Medicago truncatula: one gene and its partner. The protein of the gene in region 1 interacts with the protein of each later gene in a pairwise test. Links are inferred from orthologs where the notes say so. Each region holds a gene or a part of one and is shown in the gene's direction. Other genes may lie near its edges.

The links.
Region 2: the proteins of serine/threonine-protein kinase CTR1 (region 1) and ethylene response sensor 1 interact in a two-hybrid assay, tested with the Arabidopsis thaliana proteins (2 studies listed by BioGRID). The link is inferred for Medicago truncatula from reciprocal best matches to the Arabidopsis thaliana genes CTR1 and ERS1.

Annotation. Positions count from the first base shown.
Region 1 is NC_053042.1:30,647,011-30,663,841, reverse strand, and holds the start of serine/threonine-protein kinase CTR1, read left to right. Parts: upstream 1-8,562; 5' UTR 8,563-8,782; coding exon 8,783-9,343; intron 9,344-10,494; coding exon 10,495-10,796; intron 10,797-10,882; coding exon 10,883-11,027; intron 11,028-11,160; coding exon 11,161-11,264; intron 11,265-11,474; coding exon 11,475-11,683; intron 11,684-12,453; coding exon 12,454-12,822; intron 12,823-12,909; coding exon 12,910-12,950; intron 12,951-14,622; coding exon 14,623-14,691; intron 14,692-14,780; coding exon 14,781-14,881; intron 14,882-14,982; coding exon 14,983-15,067; intron 15,068-15,188; coding exon 15,189-15,287; intron 15,288-16,110; coding exon 16,111-16,179; intron 16,180-16,280; coding exon 16,281-16,412; intron 16,413-16,831. UniProt on the Arabidopsis thaliana protein: Acts as a negative regulator in the ethylene response pathway. Phosphorylates the cytosolic C-terminal domain of EIN2, preventing the signaling in the absence of ethylene.
Region 2 is NC_053048.1:51,565,396-51,581,336, reverse strand, and holds ethylene response sensor 1, read left to right. Parts: upstream 1-8,500; 5' UTR 8,501-8,658; intron 8,659-9,060; exon of another isoform or gene 9,061-9,075; intron 9,076-9,241; 5' UTR 9,242-9,264; coding exon 9,265-10,173; intron 10,174-11,238; coding exon 11,239-11,607; intron 11,608-11,699; coding exon 11,700-11,966; intron 11,967-12,207; coding exon 12,208-12,335; intron 12,336-12,470; coding exon 12,471-12,705; 3' UTR 12,706-12,923; downstream 12,924-15,941. Other genes in the region: transcription factor-like protein DPB, read right to left, coding at 676-685; 60S ribosomal protein L19-3, read right to left, coding at 15,883-15,919. UniProt on the Arabidopsis thaliana protein: Ethylene receptor related to bacterial two-component regulators. Acts as a redundant negative regulator of ethylene signaling.

The DNA of each region.
Region 1 (16,831 bases):
GCCTGAAGCATGATAGATCAATCGGTTCCAAATATAAAAAGCTTTGAATAAGAAAAGGAGCTTAAAGGAAAGATAACCCAAAACGAGGATATAGAAACTCTAAAAGAGTTTTCTGACATAATTGATTTTTCAGTTCCAGAAGAACTAATCAGGTACCCGAAACTTATAAAATATTGGTAAATTATGTCATGAATAATGTGGGTCCTCTAACTTTATTTATTAGTATCATTTTGGTCATATGCCTTGTTAAGGTATTATGATTAAATAGTGACTGATATTATTGGTAACTGTTATGGTTCATATGTATGTGTGAAATAGGAGGTCAGATACCCACATAACACAAACTCCAACGTTTATTTGAATAAAACTAACAGAAAAGACTAAATGTAGTAACGGGGAGAAACTTAGAGGACCGAAATAAATCAATTTTTAGTTAGAGGACCGATCTGATACCAATTAAATAGTTAGAGGACCAAAAAGGTATTTAAGCCTACTTTATATTAGTTCACACTTTTCAATTATTTAAACCATTCAACTACATTTTCTAAATATTCATACCACTCTTACAAAACTTACAATGAGTCCCACTAATTTTACAATATATTACAAATTATATTTTGCATTAATATATAAAATGTATAATCAAAATATATAAAATGTATCTCACAATATACTCAAAATGAATTAAAATATCCAAAATATAAGTAAAATCAAATGAAAATATATTAAATAACGTACTACTTGACATAAATAAGTTATAAGAAAATACAATAAAAAACACATAAACATTATGAGATTACATTTTTAAAATAGAACTCAAAACAAGATGACGATGATTTCATCCAATAAAATAATAAATATTAGAGAGTATTTAAAAGTGAGTGTTCTAACATTTCTCTTAAACAAAATTATTAGCTATACACAACACACAACTGACAAGTTGTATCTCACAGGGTTGCAAGAACACAAGTTATATAAATTAAAAACTTGAAATAATCACTATATTGAGTAGAGGTTGTGATCACTGATCACGACGGATACCTTTATCAAGAGAGAAACGAACCATGTAGGAGATTCAGCTTAATAAAAAATTCTATTAATATTGATATCAAATTAAAAACAATTTAATCTGTATTGGTTTTCTTTGAATATCTATGTTTTGATTCAGCTTAATAAAAAATTCTATTAATATTAATATTACACATACGTAGTAAATTAATGGTTTTGATATATAATATAGGCTAAATTACACTAGTAATAAATTGATTCTTTAAGTTTTTTCGTATCATTTAAGTCCTTTTAAGTTAATTAATTATTACAAGTTTGTCCTTTAAGATTTTTTTTCCTATACCAATGAGGTTCTTTAAGTTATTTCCCCGTAACAATTTGGAGATTTCATGTCTTACAAATATAAGTTATTCGAGGCCTAAAAGTTACAATTAAATAACTTAAAGAACCTAAGTGTTACGAAAACTACTTAAAAGACTGACTTATTGTAATTAAATAACTTAAAGGACCTTCGGCGTAATTTAGCCTATAATATAACATAAAACTTATTAAAAAAAATCTAGGTCTCGAGTTTGACTCATCCGGTGTTAACAATTCTTATGTTTGATCATCTATTTCGGCTTCAATTGATCATTTCCTAAAAAGCTTTGGTCTGACTTTAATTGAGTCCCTCGTTAGCAGACATTGAAATTGATTTTCCTAATTAGCCGGTCCTTGAGTCGGATACCAAACTTAAAAAGAAAAAATATAAATAACATTATCAAATAAAAATGCTTTTAATTATGCGAGAAACATATGAAATAGGAAAAATATAGATTAAATTAAACTAGTAGGTGTTATTTTAAAAAATTGAAAATTAACAAGCAATATAATAATACAATATACAAGTAAAATAAATAAATAAGTAATCAATTAGTTTACCTAAGAAAAAAAGTGATACATTTAGTTATGCCGTTTGATTCAGTCTTGCAATTTTCACAAAACGATTTTTTTTTTTTTTTTTTTGTTATTTGGGGAACAAACCTCAGTCAGACCTTGCATATATTATGTATTGTTCTTACCAACTAAGCTAAGTTCACGAGGACCACAAAATGAAATCTAAAAGCATATACTAACATTCGGTTTTGTGATTTTTTTTGTGGGAGTTGATTCACTTCAAGAGTCACGCATTTTTTTTTTTAAGGAAGAGTCACATGTCTTGTTATTAACAAGTTAAAATAAAAATGTATTTAAAAAAAGAAATATGAAATATTTTTTACAAATTTAATGACTCGCACATTCTTGTTTTCACTTTTAATTATTTCCTATCATCATTTTTACAATTTTTTCGCTTCTTTTTTAGTTTTATGCCAAGTAGTATTTTTTTTTATTACAAAATGATGCTTATAACATTTTATTAATAATTTTAAAAAAAAAAAAAAAAACATTTCACGATATCATGGATACATGTGGAGATATAATTGAAAATGTGTATACGAAGTAAAAATGTGGGTGCTTTGGTAAAAGCATGGACTTCTTTATTGACTTGTCTTATAATAAACTCGACATAATAGTGTTGACCATGGACATAACAAAATGCTCTACCATCTCGTAAAACAACACCTAGCTCAGAAAAATTCTTCTCTTGACATTGAAATTTAGCAACCACATTTTTTTAGTCCGTCTCAAAATCAACGAGTTCTGTGTGAAGGTCAGGACCAGTCACGAGCTTCCCTTTCTTCAAGTGAGCAAAGTGGAGAAAACCAATAAAAAGTTTACTGTTCCTTAAAAAAAATTATTGTTAATCATTCTTGTACAAATTCCCAGGGTCGGGCTATTACATATGGAAGCCTAAGACAAATTTTAATCGAGCCTTTTTAAAGTTCATTATAGAATTTTAATAAAAAAAATACTAATTATTTATTTGAATTTTTTTTCATACGTTTTGGAATACAAACCATTTTAGTAAAATTACTAGATTTTGTTTGTTGTGCAATTTGTTTTCCTTCTTCTACTTGACAATGGCTCGTTTTAGAACATGTAAACTTTTTTGAAAAAGGAAAATTTGTCCATCAAAATTGACACGGGAGATAATCGAACTTAAGATCTTGAGAGGAGCTGAAGCACACCAAAATCACAAACCAACACTACCAAACCAATTCAATTGGGTTATCTTAATAATGATTGTTGTGACCATATAAAATTCATAATTATCCCTCTACACCACCACTGGAGTTTATAAGAGACTATCTTAAAGAGATGTTTGAATGTTACACACCACCACTGGAGTTCATAAGAGATTGTCTTAAGAAATGTTTGAATGTTACACACCATCACATTTTTCATAAATAGAATGCTTCTCTACACAACAACGTTGAGAGCTAATTGTATAGATTCTCTGATTATGTTACACTTCACCCATTTTTTTGGACAAAATTACACTTCACCCGTTATTAAGCAAGACTTAGGCATTGTTTGGTTCTAGGGAAGGTGAATGGAAAGAAAGCAGGAAGGAAAGAAAGTTCATCAAAATTCGTGTTTCCGTTGTTTGGTTGCACCGTCAGAGAGGAAAGAAAGTGTTCTTTGGGTGGGTCCCACATAAAAAAACTTTCCCCTCTAAAATGCAAATTTTTGTTCTTATTTCTTCTATTACTTTGTCTTAGATTTCCTTAATTTTATATTTTGTGACAGACTTAAATGGCTCGAGAAATAATATAGAGCATATGCGTACTGGTTATGTAAATTGTCTTAGAGATGGGGAAGATTTAATGTTTTCATCAGTCCCACCATAAATGTCACTCATGTTTCATGCATATTCATCCTCCATAGAAAGATGAGTATGCATCACAAAACTAAGTATATATATTAAGCTTATGTTGCAAGTCTGAGTCTGAAGATTCATCAGAAGTTAATTGCCAGAGTCTGACGTCATCAGAGTCTGAAGTTCATCAGAGTTTGAAGTCAAGAAGCTGGAGTTAGTTAAAGTTGGTTATTGGAAGACACAAGTTTGCAGAAGGAACAGAAGCCTGGAACGATGGCTATTTCAGAGAAATTAGAAGACATTGTATGCTTATCCACTGAAGAGCGCAGAAAAAGGATAATACTACATTTGTACAACCATTACTCCACTATTCCACTATCATGTCTGCACATAGTATTGCTACAGTTGTGCCTACACTGGTTAATTCTCCAAACAAGGAATGAATTTCAAATTATTCCTTCCTATGACATTAACCAAATCAAGCAACAAATCATTGGTGATTTGATCAAGCTTCGGTAACGACTCTTTTATGTGCTAACATCCTCTCAACGTCTCTTTCACACCTCTATATATAAAGAAGTGAAGACTCTACAATGTTTTGATAGTATCAAAACTCTGCTGAAATTTTTGTGCATCAAAACTTAGAATTTCTATAAACTTTTATATCTTATAAATTCTAGAGTCTTAATAAGAGTCTTATCTGATTTGTATTGTGAACACCACTGATTGTATATCAAGTGTTCAAACCAAACATCTTTATATGTAATTTTGTTTGTTTATAAGTCTCTTGCTTTTGTGCTTGAGCATAGAAAATCTCTTGCATGTGCGCTTGAGTATTTGAAGTCTCTTGCTTGTGTGTTTGAGCATTTGTAATCAAATATTGATTTTCGTGAACTCTCTTTGGAAGTGCAAGAGGGACAGAACTACTTCCAGATTGTGGAAGGAACTTGTATAATTGCTTGTGTCTTTATCTTATTTCTCTCTATCTATACATTATTCGCTGCATTAGACTCTGAACAATGTTCTACTTCTGAAGTGATGTTCAGAACTAGATTGCAGCGGATAAAACAGAGAGAAAGAGAAGAAAGATACAAAGCAATTATACAGGTTCCTTCCACAAACCGGAAGTCAGTCCTGTCCCCCTTGCACTTCCAAGGAGAGTTCACTAAAATGTAATATCTGATCACAACTGCTCACTGCTAAAACTAGCAAGAGACTTCAAACTACTTAAGCACAACTTACAAGAGATTTTCTATGCTCCTTAGCACAATCAAGAGACTTCTTATGCTCAAGCACAACTGCAAGAGACTTCTATTCAAACAGAATTACAAAGAAAATTGTTTGAGGTTGAACACTTGATATACAATCAATGGTGTTCACAGTACAAATCAGATACAGACTCTTAAGACTCTATAATTTCTAAGATATGAACTTTGATAAGAAATTCTGAGTGAACTTTTGATGGAGAACAATTTCAGCAGAGTTTTGGCACTTGTAAATTGTTGTTTAGTCCTTGCCATTCTCTAAGTCTTCACTCCTTTATATAGAGGTGTGAAAAAGACGTTGTGAATTTCCAGCACATCAAAATATAGTCGTTTGAAGCTTTGATCAATCACCAATGATCTTTTGCCGGATATGGTTATTGTCCTATGAATGATCAATTTCAAATCCATTCCAAGTATGAAGGAACATTGTTGCAGGCATAGCTGTTATTCTTGTCTTGTAGCAGAGACACATACTAAGTAGTGGAGGTAGTGGTTGTACACTTCGTACAATTGTACTTTGTCATCACTCTTCAAAAAGCAAGAATCCAATGCCTTCAACTTCATTTGAATTAATTGTTGCTTCACTCTCCTGGTCTTCTGCAATGCTCAAACGAGATTGAATCCATATAACAGCCTTTGAAGCTTTAAGTCTCCCATCTTCTGATGAACTTTAGCTTCTGGTGATCTTCAGTTTCTGATGAACTTGCTTCTGATGATGTCATCACTTCATGAGCACTTGACTTCAGGAGCACTTTTCTTCATACGCTTCAAGCTTCCCTTATGTTGATTCCATAGCTCTTAATTTGTTCTTCCAGAACCTACAAAAATATTTAACCTTGCATATGGTCCTGCACACTTGAACAAATATTAGCATATCCAATTGACAATTTTTAATACCTTGTTATCATCAAAACTCTCAAAGGGTAATGTTAAACACATTTTGTTCCAACAAGATATGGGTTGAAAAGATTGACTACTTATTAGGCATTACTATTAAAAAAAGGAGAATGTTAACCATTGTCATTGTGACATTGGTTAAAGTACTTAAATAAGTAAGTTTGCATCGAAAAGTGATGTAATGATTGATAAGAAAAAAGTAAAGATTTGTATTTTCAAGAGAAAGTTTCTATTAATGAGATTTTTAACCATTGCCCTTAGGACAATGGTTAGCAAGACCCTTAATTTTTTTTTTTATAAATGAGTGATATCTACACATGAGATCCATTTAAGTACCAAAAAATGAGTGTCTTCTTTATGGATGCTTTTTTGGGTTCTGTTTTTTTTTCTTCTTTTTCTTAAGAATAAAAAATGGAATATATTAACAACGGCGATGATTCTTATTTAGCACAAGGTGTACTAAAGAAGCAACCCCAAAGGGCAAACAATCACAGTATAATTACAATAAACAGGTTAGTCGATACCCAAACAAAGTAACGGGTCTGACCACCATCTAATCGTGCCATAAACAAACGTGACATTGTTAGCTTTAAGCCACAAAAAGAAATCCTGCTTAACCTTTTCCAGAAGACCTATAATATTAGTTTGGATATTCTTAAATATTCTATTATTTCGTTCATTCCAAATTATCCACACACAATAACCAAAACATCTATATTGTTTAGGTTATGTTAACTTGTGTCCTTAAGACACATGTTAAACACTCCAATAATGGTAAGAATTTCTTGGAAAAATTAATATTAAACCTTTCGAACAATAAATTAACACAATTTTCAATACATAATTTTTATCAATATAATTTTTAACATATGTCATAACAACATAAATTAACATTTTTTTTTTCTTCATCGAAGGAATTTCATCACGAAATCCAAACCGCTATGAACCTGGCCGTATATCACCATCACTAGCAGCCACCAAACCAAACTAAAGTTCATGTTCTATTTTTACCCGTACAAGAAGGGTCACATGCGAAAGCTGAAATAAAAATATGCTAAATTCAACTTCGCCCACAACTATATCCATATCTGTTTAAAGGCGTGTGTAATCTGAACTCACTGCAAAGTTGTTATGACAACATACATTAAAGTAAGGCTGGTCAAGTACAAATTAGAAAAATCCAACTTGTAATTAGATTCTTATTTTTAAATCATTCATTTCTATTCTTAATCAATTCAATCCAACTTGCATATTAAAAAATTTGTAATTATTTTTTTCTACTATTATCATCCAAAAACAAAAAGTCATATTTTTATATTATTAAAAAAATACCACCAGGTGAATTGAACCGGCCAACGTGTGAACCAAATACCGCTTTGCCCACCGAAAATAATAAAGGGAAATGTTAACTAACCAATGCCCTTGAACTTTAGATAGTAACTTTTATAAAAGTTTGTGTAATGAGTGTATTGGAAATTAAAAACTTTTTAATTTTAAAAGAATAATTACTTTATTTAGTATGTTTAAAGAGTATTTCAGAGACACTCATTAACAAGACCCAATAATAAATTACAATCGAACATCATTTTTTTACACAGACATATATTCCGATTATTACTATAAATAAAAATCTTCTCCTACTTTTTTGAAACACATTTTAGTAAATATTTAGATCAAATATATTATTTATTTAATGAATTTAAAAAATGGTTTTATAATAGTGACCGAAAGATGTAAAGATCAATTTATTTATGTTATTGTAAATCAATTGACAAGGAAATCACAATACACACGATCAATATTCACACTTTGAATTCTTCATTCTCGAGAGTGAAATTTCAACCATTTTGACTACTTGATAAAAAAAAGATACCGATTAATCATGTTGAAAAATATGATTAACTTTGTTAAGTAAATTAATTTATAATTAGAATTGTGGTTAGTTCAATTACATAATTAACTAAAATTTTACGAATTCTATCATGATCGAAATTAAACATATACCATTCTCGTGAGTTTATCTAAGTGACTTTGATTTTTCATAATATATGCAAAGGGGAGGTTCAAATTTCATATATTCCACTTATTTATCTCAAGAGATTAATTCTTAACAAACAAACTACTTAAAAAAGATATATATTTAACCAAATCACAACTTCGATTATGATTAGGCTAAAATATGGTTTTGGTCCTGCAAATATGCTTCGTTTTTGTTTTAGTCTCTGTAAATTTTTTTTGTTGTGACTATTTTCAAAAACAAAATATTTTGCAAGGACCTTTTTAAAAATCAAAATATTTTGCGGGGACTATTTTTCTAAATATGGGTTCAATCATCATGTGTCACGTGCGTAAATCATCACAAAAGTGGAGTCAGAGATCAAAACCAAAACGAGACATATTTGCAGGACCAAAAACAACAAAAAAAATTTATAGAGATTAAAACCAAAACGAAACATATTTGCAGGAAAATCCATACTTTAGCCTTATGATTAATATGAACTCGAAGTTCCACAATTAAAAAAACTCAAAATTGTTGAGAAAAATACACAATAAAAAAAACTCGAAATTGTAGACAAAATTGAGTGATATGTATGAAACATTTTTGGAAAAGAAATACCAAAACTTTTGAAAATAATTTAATTTACGATAGCGCCACCGAATTAAACAAAGAAAAAACTTCGTCACTTTGATTTCTCTCTCCCCGGAACTCAGAGAGAGAAATTTCATTCATTCCACCATTCACACTTAACAGTTACCAGATTCTAGAAAGAGAAAAAGGAAAACGAAGAATAACGTAACAGAAACTTCAACGAAGAACAACAATGAAGATTTTTAGGGTTTTATAACTAAACCAAAACGGTGATTGATTTCAATGGAAATGCCTGCTAGAAGATCTAATTACTCGATTCTAAGTCAAGTTCCCGACGATCAATTCTCCTACGCCGCCAGCGCTAGTGCTCCGGCACCGTCGTCGTCGAGCGACGGAAAAGCTAGTAGAGGCGGTTGGGAGTTAGTCGGCGATCATCGGCAAGGGAACAATCGGATCGGGAATTTGAATTTGTATTCATCGATCGGATTACAGCGGCAGTCGAGTGGAAGTAGTTACGGCGAAAGTTCGTTAGCCAGCGGCGGTGATTATTATGCGCAGAATCTGTCGGCGGTGGCGGCTAGTGAGGTTGATGCGTTTGGTTATTTGCATGAGGTTGGTGAGGTGAGGGGGAAGTTGGCGGAAAGTGCGGCGTGGAACGGGGGATCGTCTGGTAAGAGCTGGGCGCAGCAGACGGAGGAGAGTTATCAGTTGCAGCTTGCGCTGGCTTTGAGGTTATCGTCGGATGCTACTTGTGCTGATGATCCGAATTTTCTGGATCCGGTGCCAGATGACGCGGCTTCGAGGCTTTCGGCATCGGCTGAGGCTGTTTCGCATCGATTTTGGGTATGTTGTTTGTTGTACCTTGATTGTGTTGCTTTGAATTGTGATTTTTGATTCTGGTAATGGCTTTGACTGTGAATGTGACTACGAAGCATTGACACACACAGACACGGTAATAATCTGAGAAAATGAATTAATTGAATGTAATTACACGCATCAGTGTCATGGTGGTGTCGGACACCGGACATGCCTTTCATCAGAGTTGTCAGTGCTATAGAGGATTGTGAATTGTGATAACTAATGAAAATAAGGACAAGGTGTGTGAATGACTATGGATATATTTTGACTATGGGTGTACTGTGGTTACTTGTGTATATAAGCCAAATTAAGGCAATGCTGTGTAGCGTCGTATATGCTGAATTTATATAGGGCTGAATTTATATAGGTTTGTCGGCTTCTCTGTTATGTGTCAACGGGATGACCGAATTTTCGGTTGACGGCGACAAATTTGGAGGACAAAGTTTCTGTAGTTCATTTAGGATGCAGTTGACTTGAATGGATGGGATTTGGTTTAGTATAAAATCTTCTTAAGAAGTTGTGTTTTGTTTGTTATATGGTATAGAGTTGAATTTTGAATTACAGTGTTGAAGTCTAATAGGAGTTTTCTGGATATTAGGGTTCTATTTTTCAATATTTTTTTGGTGCTAGTTCATTGGGAAAACCATTTGTCACTAGCTATCACATTGATTGAGGAAACTATCTCATGCAGTCTCAGTTTTCACATTTGATTGGCACTTTGCTGGGAGTTCTGGAAAGAATGGTTTTCAGTATTCTATTACTGTCTGACTTAAATGCTATGATCATATTTCTCATTCTTGAATTGACTTTTTTTTTTTTTTTTTATCTCTAAATAAATGTGTATCTTATTTTTACACTGCATAAAAAATCAACATTGGAAAATATGATGTTTGTGGAGTCAAACCGACACATCTTGAAAATGCTAATTAATATTTTAACAATGTTGCTTTGAGTAGAACGTGCGTTGCGTATAATCATCATTTATTGAGTGAAAAACTAGACCTCCTCTCTTTGTTTTACCCGACCACTGAAATTTGAGGGTGGAAACTGTAACTTGTTTCATCTTGATAGACTTGATGCTCTTATTGTTAGATATGTGAAAGTTGATTTTGTATCTTATTTATAATGTACACCAGGTGAATGGCTGCCTATCATACTCCGACAAAATTCCTGATGGCTTTTATCTGATTCATGGGATGGATTCCTATGTATGGACTGTGTGCACTGATCTGCAGGAAAACAGCCGAATCCCATCAGTTGATACTCTAAAGTCTGTACATCCCCGCATTGATTCTTCCCTTGATGTAGTTTTGGTGGATCGGCGCAGTGATGCCAGCTTGAGAGAACTGCAAAACATGGTTCATAACATCTCTTGTAGCAGCATAACAACAACAGAGGTTGTGGATCAGCTTTCCAAGCTGGTTTGCAACTGTATGGGGTGAGCCTTCTTGGCATTCATGGCCCGACCTATTTAGCTTTTTATCCGGTCATGTCAGTCTAACTGTGTTTTATTGCTATAACAAGGGGTTCAGCTTCTGCTGGGGAGGATGAGTTTCTATCTTTTTGGAGGGATTGCAGCAATAATCTGAAAGATTGCTTAGGATCTGTTGTTTTTCCCATAGGTAGTCTATCTGTTGGTCTCTGCAGGCATCGCGCCATATTATTCAAAGTAAGGCTCCACTTCTCTGTCGGGGTTTAAGGTTGTGATTACACATGCTGACTATGTTGACGAGTTTTTGTTCACCGGAGGTGGATTGTATTTAAGCAATTCTGAATAACTTGTTATATATTTATTATTTTAGGTGCTAGCTGATGCTATTGATTTACCATGTCGAATTGCAAAGGGCTGTAAATATTGTAAAAGAGATGACGCTTCTTCTTGTCTTGTTCGATTTGGGCTTGACAGGTATACGCTTTATTTTCCAAGCATACATACCTTTCTGTTTATAAGTTTATCTGCAATTTCATTAGCTATATATAACGATCATGGAATGGAAAATTTTAAAAGGACTGGAGATCAATGGTTAACATAATGTATATCGACATTGACATTTTAAATAGATTTTCATTAGAGTAATATTCCTGTCACCTCACCTCTTACATAATCTAATGTCAGGGAATATCTTGTTGATTTAATTGGGAAGCCAGGACACTTATCCGAGCCTGATTCCTTGCTCAATGGTCCATCTTCCATCTCATTTTGTTCACCCTTGCGCTTTCCAAGACTTAAGCCAGCTGAAACTACAATTGATTTCAGGTCACTAGCCAAACAGTATTTCTCAGACTGTCTGTCTCTTGAGCTTTTCTTCGACAACAGTTCAGCAGGTAATATTCAGATATTTTGGTTAAATTTGTGCTATTCTAAATCTTGGCTTCTGGTCTCTAGAAGGATCTACTTGGAGCATATTGTTGCATTTATCAAGAATTTGAGATCCAGGCCTCCCAGTTCCTTTTTTTCTCCCCCAACTTTTTAACGAGTGATAAAAACTTCTTCCATAAGCAAGTTACTTTCAAATAAGATTGTGGCTTCACTTATAGAAAAATCCCTATAAGTTTATAAGTGTTTACGAAGAAGTTAAATGAGACAATTTCTGAAAAATATTTAAAGCAGAAGCTAATTCCATTTTCCATAAGTTCTTACGGAGAAATTTATACAAATCAGCTCTTAGTCTCTTTGCATATTTAAATTTGAGTTTATGTGTGTGTGTCTATATATATATATATATATATATATATATTGGAGCTATTAAGAAAAACTTACAGGTCAATTGTTTGGCTAGAATATGATTTATAATAGAATCTTATTGCATTGTTACTTAGTGGGATAATGCTTGGTTGTTGAGTATGCGCTTTTGAGCTGTTGATCTAATGTTTGATAAATTTGCGAGTTCATAAAATCAGGCCCTTCTTATAAATGTTCGTTTTGCAAGTCAAGTAATTGTAATTTTGCACTTGATCATGTAATATGATATGCAATTATGTGTATATGATTGTAAAGTTATAATTAAATGTTTGAATTGGGTGCTAGTATAGGATACCCTGAATTTGATATCACAGAAACTTTTTCTAATCAGAGTTTGGATTCTCCATTTCAGAACAGTTGGATGGGAAATGCAATGAAAGTAATAACCTTAGGCCAATATCAAGTGACATCAACATAAATTCTCACCTTGCTTTGTATCCGCAAGCTCCTCTTCCGAGTACACTTGATCAAGCTTCTGAAACATATATGTTATGTAACCCTCCTCAGAACATTATAGAATCAACAACTGTGGGCAAGTATCCGCCGCCTTTAAAGCATAAGCGTCCTGTTGCTATTGCCAATGATGATGTCATCGAGGGTAGGAGGTTTATTGAAGGAAGTCAACTAATTCCTAGCAAGCCTACTCGAGAGGTTGCCTTTGACATGGAGGATTTGGCCATACCATGGAGTGATCTTGTTTTAAAAGAAAAAATAGGATCAGGTACATTTTGTTTATAAATTGTAGTGGCATGATTTGTGCAATTAATATCAGTAGTCATTTACTTGAAAATGACATATTGTATTTCAGGTTCTTTTGGAACTGTACATCGTGCCGAGTGGAATGGTTCGGTAAGCCACTCTTTTTATTTTAAACATTGATGCTTTATAAATAAATCTAATTATTGTTATTTGACTTGTTTTGTTGAAACTATAAGGAAGGAATGAAAAAGAGAAGATATTTTATATTTAACGAGATGCTGAATAATTTATATATCGTTATATGAAACATTAATTATACTAAATGCAAATAATTGATATCAAGTACAAGTATAGTACAAAAGCAAATGGACAGGTGACAAGTCCCCGTCCAACAACACGATGATAAGTCCAGCCCTTATTACATTCTTTTCGTTGATTTTTGCAGACTGTGTTTTTGCATTCGCAAGTAATGCTACTTATATTTGTGCTTAATACATCAGTACAAGAATACTATCATTGTGTATGAACAGTAGTAGTCGCTAACAAAGGTTCAGTGGTTTCTATGTTTTGGGAGCTTGTTTCATAAAACATTACAGCTTATGAATTAGTCAAGACTCAACTGGTATTTGAGTATTTGAAAGTAGGCTAAAGTATGTCATTAGTCCTTGCAAATATGTCTCTTTCTGGTTTTGATCTTCTAATGTTTTCCCATTTGAGTCTCCTATAAAAAAATGCTTTTGGTTCTTGTTGTTTTGTTTTATTCTCTATAATATTTGGATTAATCTGAACAAAATATTATAAGGACTAAAACAAACTAACGATCAAATGCCAAATTATGTATTTTTTTATTGATCACAATTTTATCAAGGGACTAAACAATTGTCTCCAAAGTACGCGGTGTGCTTTCTAGCTGGACCAAATATTATAATTATTGTGAAGAAACACTTTGCCTGTAAATGTATGTATATATGGAATGTTATATATGTTGATGTAGATAAAGCATGTTATCAAAATTCTTGTTCATCTTCCATTGGTTCCTGAAATGGTAGCTTCCAATATTATTTTAAATTTTTTTGTACTCGTGTCTAGTCAATTGAAAACAATTATTTGATGGACAACAATTGTTTGAGTATATGAAATATTCTTCAACAAAAGATTGATTTCATAACAACCTACCTGTGTAATTTCAAACTATGACTTCTGCCCAACTGCCATCAACCTAATACCTTACTGTTTTGGCTTGTTGTCTGATGCAAGCAGAGAGACTAGTATGTAGCATGTTGGTTATTGGCAACCTATTGACATCATATATCCTATTCTCTCCTTAGCTTTGTGACTATAGTACAATTTGACCTTTATTGCCATATCTTTTCTCACTTAGTTACACGTCAAAAGAGCAGAAGTTTATTTGAAAGAGAAAAAGAAATCTTCCAATAGATGTTTTTCTCATCGAACAAATTATACAAAAACAACAACCAAGCCTTAATCTTCTCATCGAACAAATTATATCTAACATTTTATTTCGTGTGAACAAATGAAGCTTACAGTCGCATATTTTTAATACTTATTGCCTTTTTCTTCTCTGATTCTGAGTTCGCAAATTATTTAAGCCCATGTCATGATTTAGAATGCATATATGTTGAGGATTTCTTCATTAAAGTCCAAAGCAGACATATTTTGTGACACTCTTTTTTTGGGATTTCTTCATTAAAGTCCAAAGCAGACATAGTCTTCTATTTTAATTATTTCATGATTGCTTGCTTATTCTCTCTTTTTGCTTGTTTTATATTTTTTCATTCTTTAACGCATTATTAATTTGCAGGATGTTGCTGTTAAAATTTTGATGGAGCAAGATTTTCATGCAGAACGCTTCAAGGAATTCATGAGGGAGGTATGCTTGAAAGTTCTAACCAAGTGAAAATCCCCCAAAAGAGAAATTGAGAGCTCGTCTTTGAATTGTATTCTAACTTCTTTTGCCAGGTTGCAATAATGAAACATTTGCGGCATCCAAACATTGTTTTATTAATGGGGGCAGTCACTCAACCTCCTAACTTATCAATTGTCACCGAATATTTATCAAGGTTTGCTCTATGTCTCTAGCTGTCCCTAATTATTTTTCTCCAAAAGATGGAATATTCCAAAGGGTAGCTTGAAATTCTAACAGTTTTTGAACTAAGTGCAGGGGTAGCTTATACCGGCTGTTGCATAGACCTGGTGCCAAGGAAGTGTTGGATGAGAGGCGCAGGCTTAGTATGGCTTACGATGTGGTATGCATTTAAACAAATGTTTTGTTTCTTGTTTTTATTAATTTTGGAATTTGTTATATGATATAATGGTTGTATTCATTCTGAACTATTTGTCTTTTTTTTTTTTTTTTTTCATTTACAGGCAAAAGGGATGAATTATCTTCACAAGCGTAATCCCCCCATTGTTCATAGAGACCTGAAATCTCCAAACCTTCTTGTTGACAAGAAATACACAGTGAAGGTAACAGTGAAGATTCTGTACTATATCTAGTACTCTTAACTTTTAAGAATTTTATGAAAATCATAGTTGTCCTTGAAAGTAGTATTCCATTTCTTCCTTTTTTTCTGCATCCCTCTCTTGCAAACAGTCTTGTATGGTTGTAGCAATACAAGGTTGTAATTAGTCTCCAAAGTTCATCTCTTTTTGGCCTAGAATGGCTCCAAAGTAGTCAGGTGTGTTATATGATTAGTGTAATTCTATTTGGATAATTATCAAGCCTTTACTTTGATAGTCTGGATATGATTGGGGGATAAAGCAGTGTTCTTCCCCCCACCTCTCGGAGTTTTGAATTCATCGCCAAATGAAAATTACACTGTTGATTCCATGTAGGCTATAGCATACAATGGTCCTTTTATATTTTTCTAGAAAGATAAAGAAATGAATAAACAAATATTTCATTGGTTTTCTTTTTATAAGTAATTGCTAATTGGTATTTTAATTTTTTTTGACAAATTGTGCGATTTGATATTATGATTTAATATGGAACTACATATGAACTGGTGGCAGATTTGATTTTGTTCCAAAACTTACTCTACCTTCACATAGTTGAATAGAAGTTTCAGCATTCTGCCAACTAGCTATGCTTGTTTTGATTCAAATCTGGAACACTTTTGAAAATCCAGTTGACAAGAAAACATGTGGAGTGTGTTATATAACATATATATTTTGTGGAATCTTTCTTTTTTGTTTTCTTAAGAGATAGGGGGATTAGATTGACCTGGTGATCTATTTTCTTGGATATTAATGGGTTTTTGGGCTAAAAATGGTAATGCCATTTCTCTAGGTTTGTGATTTTGGGCTTTCCCGCTTAAAGGCCAACACATTTCTCTCTTCCAAGTCAGCTGCTGGGACTGTAAGTTTAAATTATCTTACAGATATTTCTCTTTTCTGTGTCTAATGTTTCAGAGGTTTGTTTTAAATAAACATTAAATTATACTCCTTTTTCTCCATTAGCCTGAGTGGATGGCTCCAGAAGTTCTTCGTGATGAGCCATCAAATGAGAAGTCTGATATTTATAGCTTTGGGGTAATCATGTGGGAGATTGCAACATTGCAACAGCCATGGGGTAATTTGAATCCAGCACAGGTTTGTTGTCTACCCGCGGTACCTAAAATTGCAGTATGTTTATGCTTAATTGTTTCTGTTATAAATTTATAATCATATTGCTTTACTTTTTATGGAAGATTAACAAGATCTGAAACCTATGAAAGTATGAATATACAATATAGTTTGAAATAGTAAGTAACTGGTAATAGAAACTGAAACTGATTGCAAGAAATGTATATATTGCTTGAAGCATGCATCAAACATGCCAACAATGACAGGTAAAGTGTTGAAGTGGTTGAAGGTGTTTTAATTCTGTCATGCTTAGTTTGGTTGAACTTGCATGGATATTAAAAAAGCCTTCATTTAAAAGAAAGATAAGTGGGCCTAATGGACCGTGGCCTGCGGATGTATGAAAGCCTAAAAGGAGGAATAACGGGCATAATCCATTAAAGGAGAGA
Region 2 (15,941 bases), on another chromosome or scaffold:
TACGTCGACACCGTGTAAAAAATATAGGAAACCGACACCGCTACATATATGTTAATTTATTTAAAGTTGGTCTAAAATGAAAATCAAAATACATATATAAACATATAGTATTTGACCTTTATTTATTCATCTACTATCAAAAAAGCTAAAAATGATATAATCAATTGTAATGTATATATGGTGTGTGGAAGCAAGAGAGAAAAAATTGTTTTAGATATTTGTCTGAGTTGTCCGACATGGCTATAGGTGTCGAACACCGATCGTAGGAGTGTCGAAGTAAAGAAAAAAATAAGTATTTAGGACACCGGTTCGACACGTGTCGTACGAGTGTCATAGGAGTGTCGGACACCGCGACACGCCTAGTCGTAGAGGTGTCCGTGCTTCATAGTTCCTTTCAGTTCAGGACCACCCAACTCAAAAATGCATTACTCAAAAACTTTCACATACATACTACAAACGCATGCATTCCATTTCACCTACAAATTTTTCAAAACCAACTTTCAAAGGTTTTTAGAAGCACAACATTACATGCAAATTACACATAAATTCATAATCAAGTAAAATTAGAAAATAAACATGTAAGTTTCTGTTCAAGAACAATAAAGGAAATTGAACACAACCAGAATACACATTCACATTGAAATCTCTAATTCTTACAATCTATTCCCACTTTACCCATTTGCATGCATGATCCATGAGCTATTCACATGATCATGGTAAAAATAACTACTGAATATTCATAAAACTCTTCCAAAATCAGCTCTAAACAAAATATGTAGAAGAGAGGGAAGTATGGAATGCCTAAGCCAAAGCAATTCTCTCTTCTTCTTTTCCTCCTCGCTCTCTTTCTATCAACTTTTCCACTTTTTTTTCTTTGCTGCTATGTGTGAGGAGAGTGAGTTTTGTTTGCTTAAAAGTGAGTGTATGTGTGTCTGTCACGTAGGGAGACAAGTTTGGTTAGTCTTATTTGTTTCAATTCCTAATCGATAAATGATATTTTTAACTTTTTAGACCATTTTGTGACACATCTCAATTGTAGTTATGTTGTGTGTTTGGTAAAAAGTACCAATAAGTTAGCTGGTAGCTGATAGCTGAAAAGCTAACTTATAGCTGATGGTTGATAGCTGATAGCTTATAGCTAAAAAATTAACTTATTAAAATAAAAAGTGTTTGGTAAAATTAGCTGTTGAAGTAGCTGATAAATATAAAATGACGTAAAAAGGGCATGTTTGTGTTTTTTTTTATAAATCATATACAATTTTTATTACTTAATGTATTTCTTTTTAAATGTTTAAATTTATTTCAAAATATTTTCATCTCCTAAATGATAAATGTATTTATTAATTCAATTGATAATTTTTATTTAACAAAATTTCCTTTTCATGAATTTTACTCAACTAAACTTGCATCACTATTTATCGTAAATTTTATATAAAATTATCTATAAAAAGGAACGTGAACAAAAAAAATTGAAAAGCCATATCATGATGCTAAACGTGGGCAGTTATGGATTGTTTTTCTAATTCAAGTTAAATTAAACTAAATTAATAAAAATTTAAAATTGGAAGAAAATATAAAAAGTTATAAGCTCAAAAGCTACTTGAATTAACTTCTCAAAAAACGCTATAAGCTAATAAGAAAAGTTTTTTACCAAACACGTTTCATTCTACAAAAACTAGCTTATAAGCTAGTCCAATAAGCTATAAGCTAACTTTTTTGTGTTACCAAACACAGCCTTATTTTATGTCCAAGTTTCTCTTTTTATATTTTTTTTCTATCAACATTTACATTTTTTTTTATATCATTAGTTTTTTCATAAGTTATTGTAAAAATAGTTATTCAAATAAAATATATCTTCCTACTTGAAACTTTTTATTCTATGATTAATTTTTACATTCAAATTTATTTATCAACTCACTTTTATATGAATATAATCAAACATAAATCACTTTACATTCAACTCAATTTTAAGTTGAATCAATTTTTATCACCACATAACTAAAAATATACTTAGATTAGTTCCTCAAACTAGAAAATAATATGATTGACAACAAAACTCTCTCAAGACTTTATGGCTGCTATATTTATCGAACTTGATTCACTAGAGCTTTGTTTGGGATTTTGGAGCGGATGAGAAGGGAAAACTTTGGAGGGTTGAAAATATGAAGAAAAATGATAAAATGTTTTACATTTTTATAAAGAGTAATTTATTAGAGAATGATAAATTAATATTTTTGATTAATATTCTTTTTGTTTGTTAAAAAAAATATTAATATATTTTTAACTTTAAGAATTTTATAACTACATGTAAACCCTCTCAAATTCCCCAAAACCCTCCTCCAAACAATTTTTTTAGTTCCCCAATATAAGAAGATTTTGTATTATGAATAAAAATAAACAACCTAAAATCTCCCCCTCTTAATGTCATCTATTTCTTCCACTTGATATTTTTTTTCCAAACCTCTCCTTCCCTTCCTCTCTAACTCACAAACAAGGAAAATGATTCATAAACACCCTTTAGCCATACCACTTTTGTACACACTCCCACGTGGATGGCAGCTTTGAAAATTTGTCAAAAAACAAGGGATAAAATTGGGATTTCACAAGCCCTTTTGTTCTCACACTCACAAACCTTGTCTTTGTTCACGTTTTTTTTTTCTATCTTTTCCTCTTAACTCTCTCTCCATTCCTTACAATGTTTCAACGTTTCAATTCTCAATTGTAGAAAATGGTTCACTTGGCGGAGCATTGTTCTCCAAGTCCAGAAGTGTAAGAACTATATTATTTTTCATTGAAGGATTGGGTATTGACAGTGAAATTTTGTTGGAGAACTGGATCAAAAAATAAATACTTACAATTGTGTGTTGCCATTAATGACTCTGCCTAATTCAATTGCTAAATTAGAACACCTTCGTGTTGCCAACCTCTCATATAACCGCAAAATCAAAATACCTCCCCAGTCAATTGGCAAACTCATAAGTTTGCAAGTTTTGTCACTTTGTGGTTGCCTAAATCTTCAAACAATCGGTGATGGAGGAAGAGGACGGTGGTGGTCGGTGATGAAGGGAGGAGAATGATTGACGGTCAATGGGGTTGTCGCCGCCGTCCGGTGGACGGTAACCGGAAAGAGATGTGTAGAGATGGCAGCTAGAGAGGGAATAGACGTGGAAGAGAGAAAGGGAGGATGAGAGAGAACTGAGATTGAAACTTTTTAGCAGACACTTTGTATGAGTATTTAATATTATTTTTGAAGTGTGTATAAGGTAATATGCCACCTATGTATGTATACCTATCATCACTCCACAAACAATGTCTAAATATTCGAACAATTTCATTCAAACACTTGAATTTGTAAGTGGTTGCATTGTACAGTGAAGAAAGTTATAAATCATTTTAGAAGATATATAAGAAAATACAATTGTTCAAACAACATCATCCTAAACATAAAAACTAACACCCCGATTAAAAAAAATCATTTTAGGACATATGACTCCGGCATAAAATATAAGTAAAGTGATATTTAAATTTAGGGTTAATAGGTCTTTATCCCCTGTAATACAGGTCATTTTCGATTTTCTCCCCTGTAAAATAATTTTTTTGATTTACCCCCTGTATTTTTTTTTGTTTTGATTTACCCCCTAATAGACCAAACAAAAACGAAAAATTCTGGAAAAATAAAATAAATTCATTTTTGTTTGGCCTATTAGGGGGTAAATCAAAAAAAATAAAATTACAGGAGGGTAAATCAAAAAAAATATTTTATAAGGGAGAAAACCGAAAATGACCTATATTACAGGGGGTAAAGATCTATTAACCTTAAATTTATATTTCATTCAAGAAAGGGTAAGAGCTGAAATTGTTCACTTTAATTCAAGAAAGGGTAAGAGCTGAAATTGTTCACTTTAATTTAGGACATGTTACCACGTCCACTGTAATTTAAGGAATGAGAACTACAATGTATTGCATTATTTAAAGGCTAAAATATGGTTTTGATCCCTGCAAATATGTCTCGTTTTGGTTTTAGTCCCTGCAAATTTTTTTTGTTGTTTTTGGTCCCTGCAAAATATTTTGTTTTTGGAAATAGTCCCTGCAGGGACTATTTCCAAAAACAAAATATTTTGCAGGGACCTTTTTCAAAATCAAAAGATTTTGCAGGGACTATTTATCTAATAAATGGTTAAGTCATCATGTGACACGTGTGCAAATTATCACAAAAGTGGAGCCAGGGACCAAAACCAAAATGAGACATATTTGCAGGGACCAAAAACAACAAATTTTTTTTGCAGGGACTAAAACCAAAACGAGTTATATTTGCAGGGACCAAAACCATATTTTAGCCTTATTTAAATATAAAAATTTAGATAACATTTTTCTTAGAGATTTTTAGGTAACATATAGCTGCATGTGACAAATTTTAGAGATTTTCATGTTCAACCTAAACATCATGTTGTTTTTTAGAATTTGAAATTTGGATCCGCTCACACCAAAATTTGTCTTCATCCCTTTCCACCAATTTATATGTCTCTTGTCTCTCTGAATTTTGTCCAATGTAAATGATTTTTACCATGTATTAGTGTGTTTTTATGGTTTAACCATTGAATCGATAAGTGGTATTATATTTCATTTGATTTAATGATAAAAATGTTCGTAGTACATTTATTAAAGAAACATATATAAAAATATCGTATAAGGAAGTGGTGAGAAATCATTTTAAAAGTCAGAAAATTATCGCTTTCAATAAAAAGTTTCAATTTTTTACTTTTTTATGATGGCACTAGTTAACATAATCTATTTTTTTATCCAATAATAGAAATTAACTTATGATACAAGATTTGTCTCACTTAAATATCAAATAATAGAGTTCTCTAGTTAAAATTTGTTTTTCTCTTAATCTTTTTATCAAATTTTACCGTCTCTCTCCTTCCACGGTCTAATTTTTTTCTTTTTTTGAGAGGGAGAATATCAGGGGCACACAACTCAAACCAACTAGTATAGTTTCTTTTTCTTGTTTGTGCTCAAAACATAATCAAACTTTATCTGAATCTATTTAGCAAATTATTCTAATTTTAAAAAATGCTTATCCAATCACCAAATTTGATATTGCGTACTTCATATTAGGAGTATTTTTAATCAACTTATGGACAATCAAAGATGTACAAGGCAATGGGTACATTGACACGAAATTTAGACAAACAAAATATTTATAAAAAAAAAACTAAAACAACCTCGCATGAAGGGTTTTCAATTGAGTTGTTAGAAAATAATTGTTAAAATATTATTTCTCTTGAAATATAAATAAAGGCTAACATTGGAATATGAAATAGAGATAAAAGGGAAAACTATGTATTTTTAAGACAAAATTTTATTAAATATATTTTTTTTTTAGCAATAAAATAACTTTAAACAATTGGCAGCATGATCCATAATACTCCCTCCGTTTTAAAATGGGTGTCGCTTTAGTCAAAAAAATTTGTTTTAAAATGAATGTCACTTTCAATTTTCAATGCAATAATAAATTTTTCTTTTCAATTGTATCATCCAATTAATACTTTGCACACTACTTCCAAAGTATTACTTTTAAAACTAACCAATAGTTAATAAGGATAATTTGATAAAATAATCATTCTTTTTTTTTAATTATTGCATTTCTTAATATGTATGTACATGCACGAATCCAAGTAGTAAGAAATGGGGGCACTTGACCCACTTACTTCATTTTTTTAAATCAATAATGGGCAATTTTTCTCTTTTTATCAACAATAATGAGGATTTTTTATACATTGACCCCACATCAAGTTTATTAATGACCCCCCATTAAGTTTATTAATGTCCTCGCATTATATAAAAAACTCCGTTTAATTTGGCTCAATTTTATCCTTACTTTTTTTTTGGAGTATATGAAAACAACTCAGTGAACAATAGAATTTGCATGAAATTAGCGATATTTCTAGAATGATAGTTGAAATTAAAAAACATTGCTTATGCAATGATGTATTTACTTCTAAAATTTAGCATTATTTTTTTTGCCTTGCATTAGTTGATTGGACTTTTTCTCAACTATGAATTTTATGAAGAATCAAATGTGCAATTGTAAAAGGGATGAATTTTGAATGATTGCTTGGTCACACTCATAGAGAGTAATATGTTTGATAGGTTTGAAAATGAAAAATAAAATAAAAAAACACTTTCAACATATAAAAACATGTAGAGAACAATTACAATCCTTAGATATTAAGATGTCTTTAAGTTTCGGATATTTGACCCAATTTCTTGAAATTTCTGTATCCGTCTCTGTGTGTAAATATCTAAAACGACACTTATTTTAAAACAAAGGGAGAAATTTACTACTGATTGTTGTGGTCTTGGAGGCAATGATGCATGCAATTTGAAAGCGCATCGGGAGAGGGTGACAGTCACCGAAATGCATTGTACATAGTCCAATGAATCTTCTTTCTTTTTTTACACATACTTTTGCTTTCATTTGACTACCATATATTCAAATTAATAATTAACTAATAAAGTGGGTATCGTAATTGAATAATTATATGGGTGTGTTTGTTTCAAGTTATAATTGTTGATTTCCGGAAATAAAATGATAGGAATGTATATGTCTATGTTTGTTACAAGTTTATTAAATTTTATTCCCGGGTATAAAATGTTTCTGGGAATAGAAAAAATTTCCCAAGGAAAAGGGTGGGAATAAAGTTCCCATGGAGATGAGAATAAATTCATAAATAGTTTACCTATTATAATCCATATTTTTATGGTTCCTAGGAATATTATAAAGCTAACCAAACATATTTTTCCTAAATTCCTTGGAATAAAATTTCCATCTTTATATTCCAAGGAATGTTATTCCTAGGAATAAATTTGATAAACTTGAAACAAACACACCCTAAGATTACGTAAATTTTAATTTAGCAACGGGAGACTGATTAACAAAAGTATCTAGATTAGATTGCTACATTGAATATTGTGATTAAGGTTTGAACTTACGGTCATCTTCATTTATGCCATTCTTCATTTTTACTATTTGCAGAGATATAGATATACAAAATTTTAAAAAAAGCAAAAAATAATTAATGATGGTGGGACCTTTTTTGCAGTTTTGGTCCAGGCCAATTTTGACCAAGTCAATGCTGATGTGGGGCACGTGTGTAATTATTTTATTTTTTAATTATGAAAAAATAATTTTTTATTTATTTTTTAATTAAAAATAATATTAAAAATTAAATAAAAAGTAAAAAAATTACACACGCCAACGTTGAGTTGGTCAAAATTGATCTGGAGGCCAGAACTGCAAAAGGGATAATATTCAGGGGGCTGAATTATTTTTTATTTTGTTAGGAGGCCAAAATTGCAACTTCATAATACTTAGGGGGTCAAAAATACTATTAAACCAATAAAAAAATTGTCTAAAAAATTGTCCCAATTTATTAATTTGAAAATTGAAAATTAATGTTTTGTAATAAATATTTACCATTTATAAAATCCTTAGTATATAAATTAGCATGACCATTTTTTCAATTAGTCTTATTACCGGCAAGTGTCTTGAGGATGCTTTTAAAAGATTTCAAATGAAAAAATTACAGAGTATTTTTTTTTTTTAAAATGTAAGTATTTCAATTTAGCATGCATTTAAAATACAAATTTTCACAAAAAACTTATTATTAAAACACCTAGTAAAATTATTAAGGGTTAAATATATTTTTGGTCTTTAAATATACCAATTCGTTTTAGTCCCTATAAAATTTTAATATAGAATTTATATTTTCGAGTTTCAAACATCAATTTTAATATATAATAAAACAATACATTGTTATTGTCAACTAAGTTATGCTCACGTGAATCAACTTGGCTTCTATCAAATAAGAAATGATATTTGTACAACTATTTTTGACAATTTTTAGACAACTTTTTATTTCATACTCACATTATATTCTTAATCTCCCTCTTCTTTTTCCTCTCTTCATTGTTTTTAACCAATAAAAAGGAGGAAAAAGAGGTTGTCAATAAAGTTGTTAGCAAATGATTGTTCAAATATCATTGCTCCTATCAAATCACCTGGTTAATATTTGTAAGGCTAGAAAAAAAAATCTTTTTGAACCTCTGGAAAAAAAAAACTAAAACCAAAAAAAGATACATTTCCTTTTATGATAAAGAGGGAGAATGGTGGATAATTTACCCCAACCAATACACATTAGTCACATAAGCATATTTTTAAGTGGTATCTATGAACTATCTTGACACCACTAATAAATTGCTTATTTTTATTGATTGGTGGGTAAATTATCCACCATTCTTCAAATGTATTCTTCAAATGTAATCTAGAAAAAACCCATAAAGAGGTGATAAGAAAATGATACAGGTATAGGACGTCGTCGCACGTGTGTGTAAAGTAAAAAGGATAGGAGAGTGAAGAGACGCGCGCGAGTGGGGAGTAATAAGAGTTGCCATCTTTGTCTGTCCGTGAAATACAGAGACCTTTATACTTGAAGTCTTCTATTTTTCCCACTCACAACACAAACATAACACTCTCTTCTTCCCTTTTTCTTTTACTTCTTCTTCATTTCATTCATATGAATATGAATGAAGTTTCCGCCTAACCTATTTGGCGCCTCCGATCACTCCGCCGCCTGATCTACCTCCCTTCTTCCGGTATTCACTCTCTCTATCTATAATTTTTTAATCATTATATGATCCATTTAATAATTCTCATTTAGTTTATTTATTTATTTTTTTTTATTTTTTTTAATATGATACTCATACAATTAGCTTCATTTCCAAGCATTATTTTATTCATTATACTTGCTTCTTTAGATTTGCTTCTTCCATTATCCAATACTATTATTTAATATACTTTGTTATTTCATTTCTCCTATACTATTTTTTTTATAATTTCATCATAAAATTCCAGTAATTGTTGGATCTCATAAGTAACATATTTAGATTCGTGTTGTTGGATTTGTGATTTTTCAAACTATTATTATTCACTTTACTCTCTAAAAATCTCACCTACTGTTTTTTCTTTTTTGGATTGCATCAAACTCAATAACTCAGATTGGGTTTATTTATGTAAGTAAATTATTGATTTTTATGTTGTTGTTCTCTTGTTCTTGTTGATTTTAAACTTGGAATACACTTTGATCTTCAATACATTGCAATTTGTTTTTTTCTTTTCTTTCTTTTACTTTTTGTTTTTGAACCCGTGATGACAACCTATGCTATGTTGCTTTTACAGATCCTTTCATGTGGGGGTGTTAGATGATGGAGTCTTGCGAGTGTATTGACACGCCTTATCCCCCAGATGAACTTCTTGTCAAGTATCAATACATCTCCGACGTTCTTATCGCGCTAGCGTATTTCTCGATTCCGGTGGAACTCATTTATTTTGTTCAGAAATCTGCTTTCTTTCCATATAGATGGGTTCTTATGCAGTTTGGGGCTTTTATTGTTCTATGTGGTGCAACTCATTTTATAAATTTGTGGACATTCTCAGCTCATACGAAAGCTGTTGCTGTTGTAATGACGATTGCTAAAGTGTCGTGTGCTATTGTGTCATGCGCCACTGCACTTATGCTTGTTCATATTATTCCTGATCTGTTGAGTGTTAAAACCCGTGAGTTGTTCCTTAAGAACAAGGCAGAAGAGCTTGATAGGGAGATGGGACTTATTCTTACCCAGGAAGAAACTGGAAGACATGTGAGAATGTTGACTCATGAAATACGGAGCACGCTTGATAGGCATACTATTCTAAAGACTACTCTTGTGGAGCTGGGTAGGACTTTAGGATTGGAGGAATGTGCATTATGGATGCCATCAAGAAGTGGTTTGAATCTACAACTTTCTCATACTTTAACTTATCATGTACAAGTTGGTTCTACTGTGCCAACAAACCTTCCTATTGTCAATGAAGTCTTCAGTAACCCGAGAGCTATGCGTATACCACACACTTGTCCACTTGCTAGGATAAGACCTCTTGTCGGAAGATATGTGCCACCTGAAGTTGTTGCGGTTCGGGTGCCGCTTCTACATTTGTCAAATTTCCAAATTAATGATTGGCCTGAGCTTTCGGCAAAAAGTTATGCAATTATGGTTCTTATTCTCCCTACTGATAGTGCTAGAAAGTGGCGAGACCATGAGTTGGAGCTTGTCGATGTTGTTGCAGATCAGGTTTGTTTGATTTCTTTTATTTTATTGGTTCTTTTTTTTCCTGAATATTTTCTATTCCGTATTTCCGTTGTTTTCTATTCCTTTTCTTTTGATTGCTTAAACACTCATATTCATTGTCATTGTGCCTGTAAGTTCTGTTCTGAGTCTGACTATCGCTGTGAACTTGTTTTGGAGTTTGGAGCATAGAATAGTTGAAAATTAGGAAATGGCTATCAATCATTGGCCATTTGGGCTTTATAGTTATTTCTCAACCATCAAGGTAGAAGACAGAATATGACACCTAGTAACTTAAGTAAAGAACCATATTAGGAATGCATGTGGAGTATGCGCTGAGGCCGCTGAATCCCAATAAGTGGCTAAAAAAGGGAGGGCAGGTCATGTAATTATGAAACCTGTGATATTTGTATTTAATACTTTTTGTCTGCATAATTCAACCTCTGCGATATAGTTTACACATGGATTCCATCTTATGTCGTTTTCTTTTCACTTAATGTTGTATCCGAGCCAGTCTAATTTTGATTTTGGCCATTGAAGATATATGGTGGCTCAATATCAAGATTGAGATAGGCTCGGGTACTGTACTAAATTTAAGAACGAGATTGGAAAAATGGGGTAAACAAACACGTGACAATGTCTATTTACTTCTCTTAACATCAAATATTGAAATAATCTGATGCAGATCTGTCTAGGATAAATCTACAACAAATGCGTGTGGGACCTGACTTTTAAGTGTTTTATTCCCTTTACCTGCACATGCCTCCTAATCCGAAAAGACCAAATTAAATACCTGAAACTTTTCATTCAATTGTATGGCTTTTAGGAATATCATTTTCTTTCTAGATTAAATTACCATATTAACTGTGTTTGAAATTTGCTTTTGTAACATTAGATATCGCGCCACAGTTGCTGTTTCAAAATGTCGCCTACATTTTCTAGTGCTGACATGGCATTTGTTTCCTCACATGCACCTCAGATGTGGGGACATGATTGTGTTATTATTCATTTCAAAAAATTTACTTGAGATTCTATTCCTCCGTATGATGAATCCATTTAGTTTCCAAACAGGTAGCAGTTGCCCTTTCACATGCTGCTATTTTGGAGGAGTCCATGCGAGCCCGGGATCAACTCATGGAACAAAACGTTGCCTTAGATTTAGCTCGGCGAGAGGCTGAAATGGCAATTCATGCTCGCAATGATTTCCTTGCAGTCATGAATCATGAAATGAGAACACCGATGCATGCAATTATAGCATTGTCATCACTTCTTTTGGAGACTGAACTGACTCCAGAGCAGAGGGTTATGATAGAGACTGTATTGAAGAGTAGTAATGTTTTGGCAGCACTTATCAATGATGTTCTTGATCTGTCCCGACTGGAAGATGGTAGCCTTGAATTAGAAATGGCAAAAATCAACCTTCATGGAGTTTTGGGAGAGGTAATTTCAAGAAAGCTGAGATATCTGTAACATTATTCGTTAACATCTACCATGAACAGCATTTATGTATTGCTTTTCTATTGTTAATGCAGGTCATTGAACTGATAAAGCCTATAGCATCTGTGAAAAAACTACCCATTACTTTAATTCTTGCCCCTGATCTACCTACTCATGCCATCGGTGATGAAAAGCGGCTTATGCAAACACTTTTGAATGTTGTGGGCAATGCTGTCAAATATACTAAGGAGGGATATGTTTCTATAAGAGCTTCTGTTGCAAAACCAGAATCCTTACAGGATTGGCGACCTCCTGAGTTTTATCCAGCATCAAGTGATGGTCATTTCTATATACGAGTCCAGGTTATGACTTTGGCATCTCAATATCTGAACTTTCTATCCATATGTTAATGTGATTGAATTCTTGGGTTATCTAAATAATTAAGTCATCTAGATCATCCATACCTACATTTCTAGGAAAGAACCCAAAGATATCTCTACCTTTTCATTATGTTATCGACTTATCGTTGTAGCAACTGTTAGAAATTAATCTAGGTATTGATTTCCATCTCATGACTGACCCCAAACATCCTTCTTTGTGCAGGTTAAGGATTCTGGATGTGGCATTCTACCACAAGATATTCCACATCTCTTTACCAAGTTTACTCAGTCTCAGAGTGGACCTGTTCGATCTAGCAGTGGTTCAGGTCTTGGACTAGCCATTTGTAAAAGGTAGGGAAAACATAATTTTGATGTTGATGCCTAGCATGTCACCATTATTTCCCCTATGTGAAATGCATATTAACCCTGCTGCTTAAATAGAGTAGTTTTTGTTTATTGAATTACTGACTCTCAAAATTGATTCAGATTTGTAAATCTCATGGGTGGGCACATATGGATGGAGAGCGAGGGTCACGATAAAGGAAGCACAGCTACATTTGTAGTCAAACTTGGGATTTGTGGCAATGCAGATCCATCCGATCATCAAGCTGCAAGCAGAGGCCAAGCATATAGTGGAAGTGGAGGCCTTGCTAGATTTAAGCACTTAGTCAATGATGACGACATAGGTTTTTCTAATAGACGCAATCAAAGAAGTTTCTGATATCCAAAACACCAAAATTGCTTATCTTTATATCAATGTCGACTGGCTATACTAAACTCTCATTTTGCAATATGCAAACTTGTATGATTTGCTGTTTGCAGCTATAGATTAGGATTAATGTGTCAGACATATTTCTAACAAACAGATCTTATCTGAACCCCTATCGTATTAACTAGTTATACAATGAAACAAATTCAGAAATAATCCATTGCTTAATATAACTTGGAGCAGTATTTTAGGCAATGTTTTTAAAATTGGATTGAACCCGTTAGTTCAACCATTGATTTGGGAACCGGTTAGTTCATCAGTTGGTTTAACCCTGATTATATTGTAGTTTTATTGAACCGAGTTAAACTGGTTGAACCACAATTGGTTCAACTGGTTTTATTTTTTATTTTTTTAATATCTGCTTGTCATCCAATTTAACCATAGTTGAAACAATTGAAAAATGACCTGAATATCTTGCCGGTTTGATTTCAGTCCCATTTTTAAAACGCTGGTTTTAAGGAAATGATGCATATCAGCCCGAGTCTATTACCCTTTGTCTATCAGTGTTTTGGTTTTGGTTTTCTGCCATTCACTCGCATTTAATCTCTTTGGTGAAAGAAGTTGTACTACTTCCTAATATGCATAGTAATTCCAATTATTATGAACTACATTATTTTGACACAAATTTAACATCTGACATTGTATAAACAAACAAAAAAAATCTCTCTCCTCAGACAATGAAGATCAGAAAAGGTCACTAGCTTAGAATGTATTATATATATATATATATATGGTCTCCAATACGCTTAGAATGTACTATATATGGTGTCTGATACACAATGTTGATTTTTTGTGTCTCAATAATAGTTATTGCTTAAATGAATAAAAGAGATGGATTATTGTGGAAGTATCAAGAATCATTGCTACAGAAACAGAGATTCTAGTTTATTTAAAAAAATCAACTCAAATGTCCAGTTCTCTTCTTGTTGCCAATGCTAGCTTCCCTCGAGGTATGACTGAATAGTCATTTTAAATTATGTTTTACTTGTTAGTGTGTGATTTTAAATTTAGCAAATATTAAGTTAGAAACATGTATTGATTCAAAGTATTCAATCAGAGTAGATATCGACCTCGTGAGTTTAGCTCAGTTGGTATGGACAATGCATAATATATGCAAGGTCTGAGGTTTGACCCCGGCCACCACAAAAAAAAAAAAAAAAAAAATCAGAGTAGATATCATTGTACGCAACTGCAGAGATTAATCTTCACTACAAGACTTGAAAAAAATAGTGAAGAATTGAAGCTTTGATCCAATCAATAGTGAAGAATTGAAGCTTTGATTTAAGAGATCCTCTTCTTCACTACAAGACTGCCAAAATTAGTGAAGAATTGAAGCTTTGATCCAATCAGAGTGGATGGTATTGTTTAAGTGAAAATAAACCTTCAAAATCCCATTTATCATCCCTGTCACGGTCCTTGAGTTGAAGCTGGGTATCACTAGTATCAACCAAATTACAAAGTTTTTCAAAACTATTACATGAGAGCACCAAATAGTAAATCATTAGCACCAACTCTATATTAAACATAGCCCTCTTTTAGAGCTAGAGTTGCTTTTTAAATTTAACTCCAAACTGGGGAGTCTTTGATGGAATAAACATCTAGGGTATTGATTTTGTAAGTGGAATTAAACTTTAAAAAACATATAGAATTAAACTCGGATCTCTTAAATTAAGGCTCTTTTTTTTTTTTTTTTTTGAGGAATCTTAAAAACAAAGTTACGAAGAAAAAGAATAATTAATGATAACCAAGAGGAATCTCCAAAGGATATTAATATTTTTCTTATTACAATTTTTATTAGTCTTTCAATTTCAATCATGGTTATATCGGAACATTTGGATGAAATGGCAAGGAAATTTTTTCCAGATTAATTAGAGGTATTGAATTCAAATTCAGCTATAAAAATTCATTGGTGTTAAATCTCGTGAGAGTTTTGTTCGTGTCACCTCGAGAATTAGTCTCGTTAGTTGCTCATAAATGATATCTAACTCAAAAAAAATGTGAAGATTGTTTGTACAAAACAACTTATATAACTAATATCATTATTACCTCCGATTAATCATGAGTACTAAGCTCGTTATATACAATTAATCAACAGAGGTTGAAATTTAACATAACGAGCTTAGTACTCAACACTGCAGATTTAACATGACAAGCTAGTACTCATGATTACCTCCGGTTTCAATATACATATTTGACCTTCACTCTAAGCTCTTTAACTTCATCCGTACACAAATCAACAAGGTCATACACAATTCAATCATGGTTATATCGGAACATTTGGATGAAATGGCAAGGAAATTTTTTCCAGATTAATTAGAGGTATTGAATTCAAATTCAGCTATAAAAATTCATTGGTGTTAAATCTCGTGAGAGTTTTGTTCGTGTCACCTCGAGAATTAGTCTCAGCATCTACCTCTTCTTATGTGATCTGTTTGCAAAGTTTTCCTTCACTACAAATAGCATCACCTTAGTTTATATGTATTCAGAGGATTTTAAGCCGCAACAAGGTATATCAAGATGCAGAGGGTATATCAAGAGGTAGATGCTGCTAAGCAATAGATGACATCATGAAAAGAAAAAAAAAGGTAAAATAAGAGTATGGAAAAAAACATATGCATCATGTCACAAGTGCCATTTTCTATCAAAACTCTTCCATTTGTAAATTAAGCACGGACAATAAGCTTTATTCCATCATATTGAGTCGAAGACAATGTTATATTTTAACACAAGCTTTATCCTATCATCGATTATTTTTCTTATCTTAGTCTACAAACGACTTTGATACTAGTGTTTCGTTAGACAACTACAATAATTGCATGTAATCTTGTATCATTTTAAACATAATTCTTCAATGGTAAAAATAATTAAATTGAGTTGGGGCTGTGGAAGTTGAGATCAATAAAGCCATTAGCAAAGTATAAAAACATAACTAGCAAAGTATAACCAAAGTGTTTCCGCAACAAAATCATAACAAAAACAGCAAAACACCATTTAGAACAGGGACTATTATAAATTCATACACCTGATAACTGAAAAATTAAACAATGTCTTAAACCAACAAAAAGACTCGTCAAAACTACTTTAGAACAGCAACTGAGGATGTCAGCCCAACAATTCTGCCAAGCAATCTCAGACTGCAGCGGCCTTCTTTGATTTCTTTTGCGGTCTGCACAAAAGATATTCGTTTA